Linked DNA regions of Arabidopsis thaliana. The protein of the gene in region 2 interacts with the protein of the main gene of each other region in a pairwise test. Each region holds a gene or a part of one and is shown on either strand. Other genes may lie near its edges.

Region 1 (3,934 bases), on a different chromosome or scaffold from region 2:
TGTATATTTTTCTTGAGCTTGTAACACAAGGATCCCTTCTAGAACTCTACCGAAGATACCAGATTCGGGACTCGCTAATCTCCTTGTACACAAAACAAATCCTTGACGGTTTGAAATATCTTCACCATAAAGGTTTCATTCACAGGTTAGACTAGTAAACTCTCTTGTCACAGCTGTAATTCCCAAGCCTCTGATTTCCTGCACATCCTAGGTTACTTACTTTTCTCATCTGATGCGACAAAGGGACATTAAATGTGCAACTATATTGGTGGACGCCAATGGCACCGTCAAACTTGCAGATTTTGGATTGGCAAAGGTTCTTTTCCAATAATAGATGTTTATAGCTTTTACTCTAACTTAATTACTTGGTCCATCGTTTATCCCCCTTACTCAATATATATGTCATTTTTTTCATTTAGGTGTCAAAGTTAAACGACATTAAGTCCCGCAAGGAAACTCTATTTTGGATGGCTCCAGAGGTATACTTCGGGATCCTTCCTCCTGTTTTGATTGTTGTGAATACAATGACAAACATATCATATATCAATAGCAATGATGGATGTTATACTGTTGCTTATATATGTTGTTGCAACCGTTGTGATATGGGCTTGATAGCCTCAAAAACCCCCGATTATGTTTCCTTCATAGTTTGATTAAATTTCCTTTATTTCTGTTTATAACTGTAAGTATGTTTGTGTAATTATACGTAACAGATATATTTGAATTCCTTCCACTTTCATTGTAGTTTAGGCTATACTTGATCAGGTTATATGTTACAGTTTTTCCTAAATGGAACATAATAATTTGATCAGGTTATTAACCGGAAGGATAATGATGGTTACAGAAGTCCAGCTGATATATGGAGCCTCGGGTGCACTGTGCTGGAAATGTGTACTGGTCAGATCCCATACTCTGATCTAGAACCCGTAAGTCTTCAGGATTTTCAAACTTTTGAACTGTCTTATAATCTTAAACGACATTGAAGGGTCTACTTAATGGGATTTTATGAGTTAAAGGTCAGAATTTGTGCAAACGCGCAGGTTGAAGCCCTGTTTAGGATCAGAAGGGGTACGCTTCCGGAAGTACCTGATACTTTATCACTAGACGCTCGGCATTTCATACTTAAGTGTCTCAAATTGAACCCGGAAGAGCGTCCAACTGCAACTGAGCTACTGAACCATCCATTTGTGAGAAGGCCCTTACCATCCTCAGGCTCAGGATCAACATCTCCGCTAATCCGTAGATGAATCTAATTTTATTAGATTGCCTCCATAGGTGAAGCCTCTAGTTTCGTTTTATTGAGAATATATTAGGATCAAACGCTATATTCTAACATTGATATCTTAATGTATGAGAGCAGGGGTAACCAGAAGGTTTATGAGATATTAGACCCCATAGAAACTTTAGGGGAGACACGAGATATGATTCTTTGATACATATGCTGTTTTGGTTGCGCAGCAAGAGCTAAACTTTCTCGAGACATATCTTCAGGTAGTTTCTGTCTCATTCATTGGTTGGTTGTTGTAAGTTGTGTCACTTGTGTGTGTTGAGCTTATATTTAAAACTGAAGAGCCTTGGTTAAATTAGAGTTTTGGGTGCATAGGTTTGTTTAGTTTTGTTAAATTATAGTATCATGTAATGTATAAGAAGAACCTTAGTTGATTTAGAGTTTCGGGTGTATAGGCTTGTTTGGTTTTGATAAATTATATAGTGTATGCATGTAACCCATATCATGTAATGTGTAATTATAGTTGGCTCTTATATAGTTCCTGCTTGTTGCAACTGTTTACACATCTCATGTCTCGATGGATTTAATCTCCAATTTTTCTTATATATATATCTGAATTATACATGCATACATACACTATAATTTAACAAAACTAAACTTTTCTTTTGGGTGCAAAAACATAACCTATATTCATCTCTTAATTATTTTACGCTGAAGAAATCTGCTGTTTCAATTAAAAAAGTATGGTCAAACCAACATTTTCTTTGAAATTTTGGTGAAAGCCACTCTCATTGAAGTGTATATATGATTCAACTTGTTTCTTACAATATTTGCCCCGTTGAAAACTTTTTTGCCATCGATGAGTTTCTTTAAGGGCAAAGTTCCTTTAAGAAATGCTTTTAGATTTCTTTGTATACCTATGAATTTTTAATCAAGTGATGAAGACACGGAGAAAAATCCTAAATTGATGCTAAATATTTTATCTGTGGACTTAACCAAGTCTCCCACAAAAATAATACAAGAATCTGCAACAATTTTTAAAATTCAGTATTCAATTATTATTCAGATACTATTACTAGATTGAAAATTCAACTCTTGTCATAAGTCGTCGTCAACTTCTTTTGTTTGCTTCTTCCTTTTTCTCTAACAGGTGCAGTGTTACTGCCAGTTGTTTGGATATTTCCACTTGTGTATTTATTCTCTCTATCTCTTTGACGTCGTCTACAGACTACAATGGACGTAACTGCTATCTTCGCCGGTGATATTTTGGTGCAATCCAGAGAGTATCTTATCCCTAATGATGTTGTGGATGTTGATGGTGGTATTAAAGCGGTAAGACCACCAATAATTCAGCCCCCTCCGGGAAGAAAACTACCTCTTATTGACTTTCCAGGATCATCGTGGGATTTCCTTACGTATTTTGCTCCAAGTAAAACAGTTAAGCGGCAGAGTTCCTCCTCTTCTGATAATACCTCTGATAAAGAGGAAGTTGAAACGGAAGAGACGCGAGGTATGTTTGTCCAGTTGGGGGATACGGCTCATGAGGCATGCCCATTCGCTACAAACGAGGCTGACTCCTCCAGTACAGTATCCATTATTTCGCCGAGTTATGCCTCTAGAGGTTCTATCGTCCCTTCTTGGCTGAAGAGGAAATTTCTGGGACGAGTATCATTAGGTTTTGTGTATGAAGGCAGTTCAGGGTAAGTGCTAATATCTGTAGCATTATCTCATTGCTATATCTTTTATTTTCTATGGGAGATTGCACTACTTAGTCAGCTTCAGCATCATAATATCATGTCTTCTTCTAGTTCCTCCGTTGGTTCCGAGTCGACTTGTTCCTTGATGACGCCTTCTCTGGAGTTCCCGGATCGCATCAGTTTCCGGAAAAAGGATTTCAGTGAAAAAGGTCCTAGTCGACACGTTTGGGAAAAGCGTAAATTGACGCGTGCCAAGTTGATTGAAAATTTTTGCAATCCGGAGGACATTGAACCAGTCACATCTTGGCTGAAGGGTCAACTTCTAGGAGAAGAATCATTTGCCTCTGTGTATGAAGCCATTTCAGAGTAAGTCTTACTGGTTGCTTATGTTTGTTGAACTTAAAATTAGATACTTAGTTTATAGGAAAATAAACTTTAAATTGGGAAATGTGATGCAGTGCGAGAGTTTTTCTTTGTGTGTTTTGTTGATGCTTTTTGATGGATGTTTATGTTATCCTTTAGATCAAATTATACACTCTTTAGTTGGGAAGAAAAGAACAACATGCCTATTTACAATAAGATGTTTAATGAGTTGAAAAATACGGTGCAAAGCGACTTTTATGGTTGCATTACCATTGTGGCATTATCTCATTGTCTTCTCTTTCATTTTTTATGGGAGATTGCATTACTTAGTCAGCTTCAGCGTCATTATATCATGTCTTTTTCTAGTTCCTCTGTTGGTTCCGAGTCGACTTGTTCCTTGATGACGCCTTCTATGGAGTTCCCGGATCGCATCAGTTTCCGAAAAAGGGATTTCAGCGAAGAAGGTCCTAGTGGACGTGTTAAGGAAAAGCGTAAATTGATGCGTAACAAGTTGATTGAGAATTTTCGTAAGCCTGAGGATATCACGTCTTGGCTGAAGGGTCAACTTCTAGGACGAGGATCATATGCCTCTGTGTATGAAGCCATTTCAGAGTAAGTCTTACTGGTTGCTTACGTTTGTTGACCT
Region 2 (3,934 bases):
GCTCGACGTGAACACCGCACCTCTTTGGCGGAGACACCACGACATTCCCACGTAGCACAATCCCGATCCAACGATACCCTACACCAGTGGTGGATTCGGAAACTAAATTTATCGAAGAAGAAAAGATAGCAAAAAAGATAGATATGGGACATGAAAAAAGTTGAACTCAAGTCATTGGGGGACAAGAAAGAAAATATCCATGTCAAATGCAAACATAAATAGTTTTTTGTTTCTTTTTTTCTTTGTTTACAAATTACAACTAAAATAAAATTTTATATATGTTGACATATAGATCTTGTAGGTTGATTAAATAGTATATTGGATTACTCACCGAATAAAGTAAAGCTAAAACTTGGAACTTGTCTTTAACGACCCACATAGATGTGCTCCTCTCCGAGATCAAACTCAACAAAGCAGATTGAATCACGCCAAAGAAAGAGAGGATCGTGGTACTCGTGTATTGGCACGGATAAACTCGGCTTATTTTAGCTTGAACAATGAACCAAGATGACCATATTATGATCGATATAACCAGCATGATCGAACCCATTGCCCACTTTTGTGTCATTGCACCGGTGGAATCAGTTCTTGTATGTGTTTCCATATGAGTACTGTGTTCTCGACTTAAAGCGGTTCCTTTATAAAGCGTAAGCACTAAAGCTCCACAAATACATATCATTGTGCCTAGCAGTTTGGCTCTTCCTACGTTGCTCTTGATGTTCAGCGTCTCTTGCCTAATCGTATAGTTTATAAATAATTTTGATAATACTAGAGCATATATATGAAGAATCCAAATGTGTTTGATCGATTTTTCAATACCTAAAGACGAGAGCCAAGGCAAATGTAACCGAAGGAACCATGTTGCTAAACGCTAAGGAAAAAGTTGAAGATGTATACTCTAGTCCAATAAGAAAGAAGTATTGCACCAAACTTGTCCTGCAAATATATGAACGATCAAGATCAAAATAAACAACTCAAAACTTATTTGTAAACATTTATTATAAGTGAACAGTCTAATAAAATGAACATACCCCAGAAGAGCGCTAAAGAAGAGTGAACACAAGATCCTACCCGTGAGTTTTGGCCTGTTATGTCTACAAAAAGAGAGAAACAAAAAAAGAACAAATTATTTTCCTTACAAAATCTTTCATATGGAATACGAATATATAATAACATATTCACAGGAGAAAAGAGTTTGAAAACAACATTCAACTAGAAACTTGTATAAACAAGACATCCACTTATAATTTAAACCAAAAATTCAAGTATAACTTAAACTTTCAAAACGAAGAAGACAAGTAACTAGATATACATATACAAACACAAACCTTTTCATCTATATGATATTTGCAGTTTAGCAAAAACAAACACAAACCTTTCCAAGAAAATCGCGAATGGTATCAAGAACAGAGTTCCTACAGCAAGTCGGTAAGTGGTCGCGACCATACGGTTAAGTCCTTCATCAATCATCTTCTTGAACATAACGTTTACAACACTTAAACCAATGTTGATCATGGACATCATAAGCACAGCCTTCCATAGTTTTGTATCAAACTTTACCATGATTTATGATTATAAGTATATCAATATATGTGTGTGTGTGTGAGTGTATATTTATATATGTATTTACTTGTCTTTTGGTTTTTTTCTTTTTTTTCAGAAGTTGGTAAGATAGAAAGAATTTGATGAGGGTGTGACTATATATTGTGACTCAAGTAATGCTCAGAATCGTATCATTATCGCATTTGTCTTTAACTAATAGTATAGTGCTTTGAACTTGGCTTTTTCTTGTTATTGTTGATTACACTATACATGACCGTAAAAATAGATAGAGAGAGAGAGAGAGAGTTAAGTAATGGAAGCTCTCATGACTTCCATCATCACAAAGTGACATCATACACAGACATTAATTAGATCAATCTAAGACTATATATTAATTAATAACATTAGAGCTACATGAACAAGTAGATTGGTCAGTCAGTATAATTATTAACGCTTAAACTAGTAAGCTTGATCTCTTTTTTTCTCTTAATATTTATGTACCCCACATTGGGATACTCCGTACAAAGTGAAAGACATACCATTTATATAATTAAGAAAATAACGAGTTCAAATGATTTATGCAAATTTGAAAAAACTATGCTTACTCTTTTTATATTGAAATTTACCAGCACACCCTTTATTATTTAAGTATTAATTGAATAAATTATTAAAAGAAATATAAATTATAGAACGTTAAATTAAATAAGTAATTGATTTATCATGAATAAAAAATAAGAAAAATTATTTACTATGTTTAGATAAACCAGGATCGAGAATAGTGAATAGATAAAAATATAAAATTATTATTAATGGAATTGTGATAGCAGAAAATCTTAAATAAACGACTCATAAAATCTATACCTATTGCACATGCTCTGAATGGGTATCGACTGTCATGTCATCGATACACAAAAGGGGTATATTTCATGAGATTTTTAGATTGTAGTTTGATCTGTATTTATTTGACATGAAGGTTTATTTTGCAAAACAAATTTATATTGAGAGTTTTTTTTCCATAAAACCCTTATGTTTTTAAACAGAGTTATTGAGTGCCACGTTATCGATATACATGAAGGCTGTATTGCGGATGACTTTAGAGATGATGGGGTTGACTTGCATAACTCGGATTTGGAGGGTAAACTTGCAAACGAGATTGACTTGAAAGGTTCTTTTGCAGAAAACCCATTATAATTTATCCATGAGTTTTGTAATATGGATGTATAAGCATGTTATATTACCTTGAGATTACTTATAACTGCCTTTGTCGCAATATATTGATGGTTTGTTATAAGGTTTTTTTTTTTTATAGTTTCTATGCATAACTATTAATTTGATATTTTATGACTATTTGAATTCTGCCGTATTTTTTCTATTGGTTGAATTTTTATCATGATAAAATGTTTATTATTTCTTAAAAAAATCTATATAAAATGGGATAAAGTGAGTCTTACTTAGGGCGTGTAAAATATTAGTACAGTATCTTCGTTCAATTAAACAGCATGTTAAATTACACCCACCATGATAATCGAGAAATAATCAAAAATGTCCTTGTCATTTACTTTAATCCTAATCGTCTCTCTGACCATTTATCCAATTAACCATGCAATATAGCTCTCATGGAATCCTAATAAAAACAAATATCTAATCAGGCGATGCGTAAGAAGTATATATACTATCAAGTATCAACACGCACGTTTTAATTAGTTTCACTTTCTTTAGAGCCGTAATTTGGAATAAGTATGTTAATCAACATGAAGTAGTAGTCAGCAAAGTGAAGATTATTGAAAGTTGGCGTGTTTGGCTCAAAAAGAACCATATTTGATACAAGATTCTCAATAAAAAGTAGAGATCTGATCAGACAATAAGAAGCATCTATACTTTGTTTCTTCGTGAAATATTTATACATATCATGTATAATATATATAAATAAAGATTTGACAAGAGATATCAAATTTTAAAATGGAGGTAAGCATAATGCGTCAAATCCTGTCGCAAAATGGGATGCTTAATGCTTAGCTCTAAGTATCTTTCATTTGTTTATTATGATTCGGTTCCTTTACGTTTCTTGCCATGTAAAATGAATAGTATCCCAATTTTTTTGTGGAAACTATAACAACAAACTCTTTTTTAGGTCATGGATCAAATTTTGCGAACGTGTTATTATCAAACCATTTTTATTTTGCTAGTCAAAATTGTATTTTATTATATTTTTATTAAAAAATTAGGTGAGTGAAATGTATGATTAGTAATTATTTTTACAGATTTTTCATATGTGGTGAAGATTATGTGTTTTTCAACTAAATGACAAGCATTTTCAAAATATTTGGAAAAATTTCAGAGCGATAAGGATGAGTTCACAAATTTCTCTTTATTTTAAATTTTTCGATACGCA

The links.
Region 1: the proteins of UMAMIT32 (region 2) and MEKK3 interact in a protein complementation assay, tested with the Arabidopsis thaliana proteins (one large-scale study listed by BioGRID).

The regions. Positions count from the first base shown.
Region 1 is NC_003075.7:5,385,566-5,389,499, reverse strand, and holds the start of MEKK3 (MAPK/ERK kinase kinase 3), read left to right. Parts: upstream 1-2,239; 5' UTR 2,240-2,461; coding exon 2,462-2,928; intron 2,929-3,036; coding exon 3,037-3,291; intron 3,292-3,654; coding exon 3,655-3,900; intron 3,901-3,934. Other genes in the region: MAPKKK9 (mitogen-activated protein kinase kinase kinase 9), read left to right, coding at 1-145, 244-316, 420-479, 813-926, 1,041-1,247.
Region 2 is NC_003074.8:11,954,255-11,958,188, reverse strand, and holds the start of UMAMIT32 (nodulin MtN21 /EamA-like transporter family protein), read right to left. Parts: upstream 1,657-3,934; 5' UTR 1,564-1,656; coding exon 1,376-1,563; intron 1,095-1,375; coding exon 1,032-1,094; intron 937-1,031; coding exon 820-936; intron 735-819; coding exon 332-734; coding exon of another isoform or gene 260-331; exon of another isoform or gene 222-259; intron 79-221; coding exon 1-78.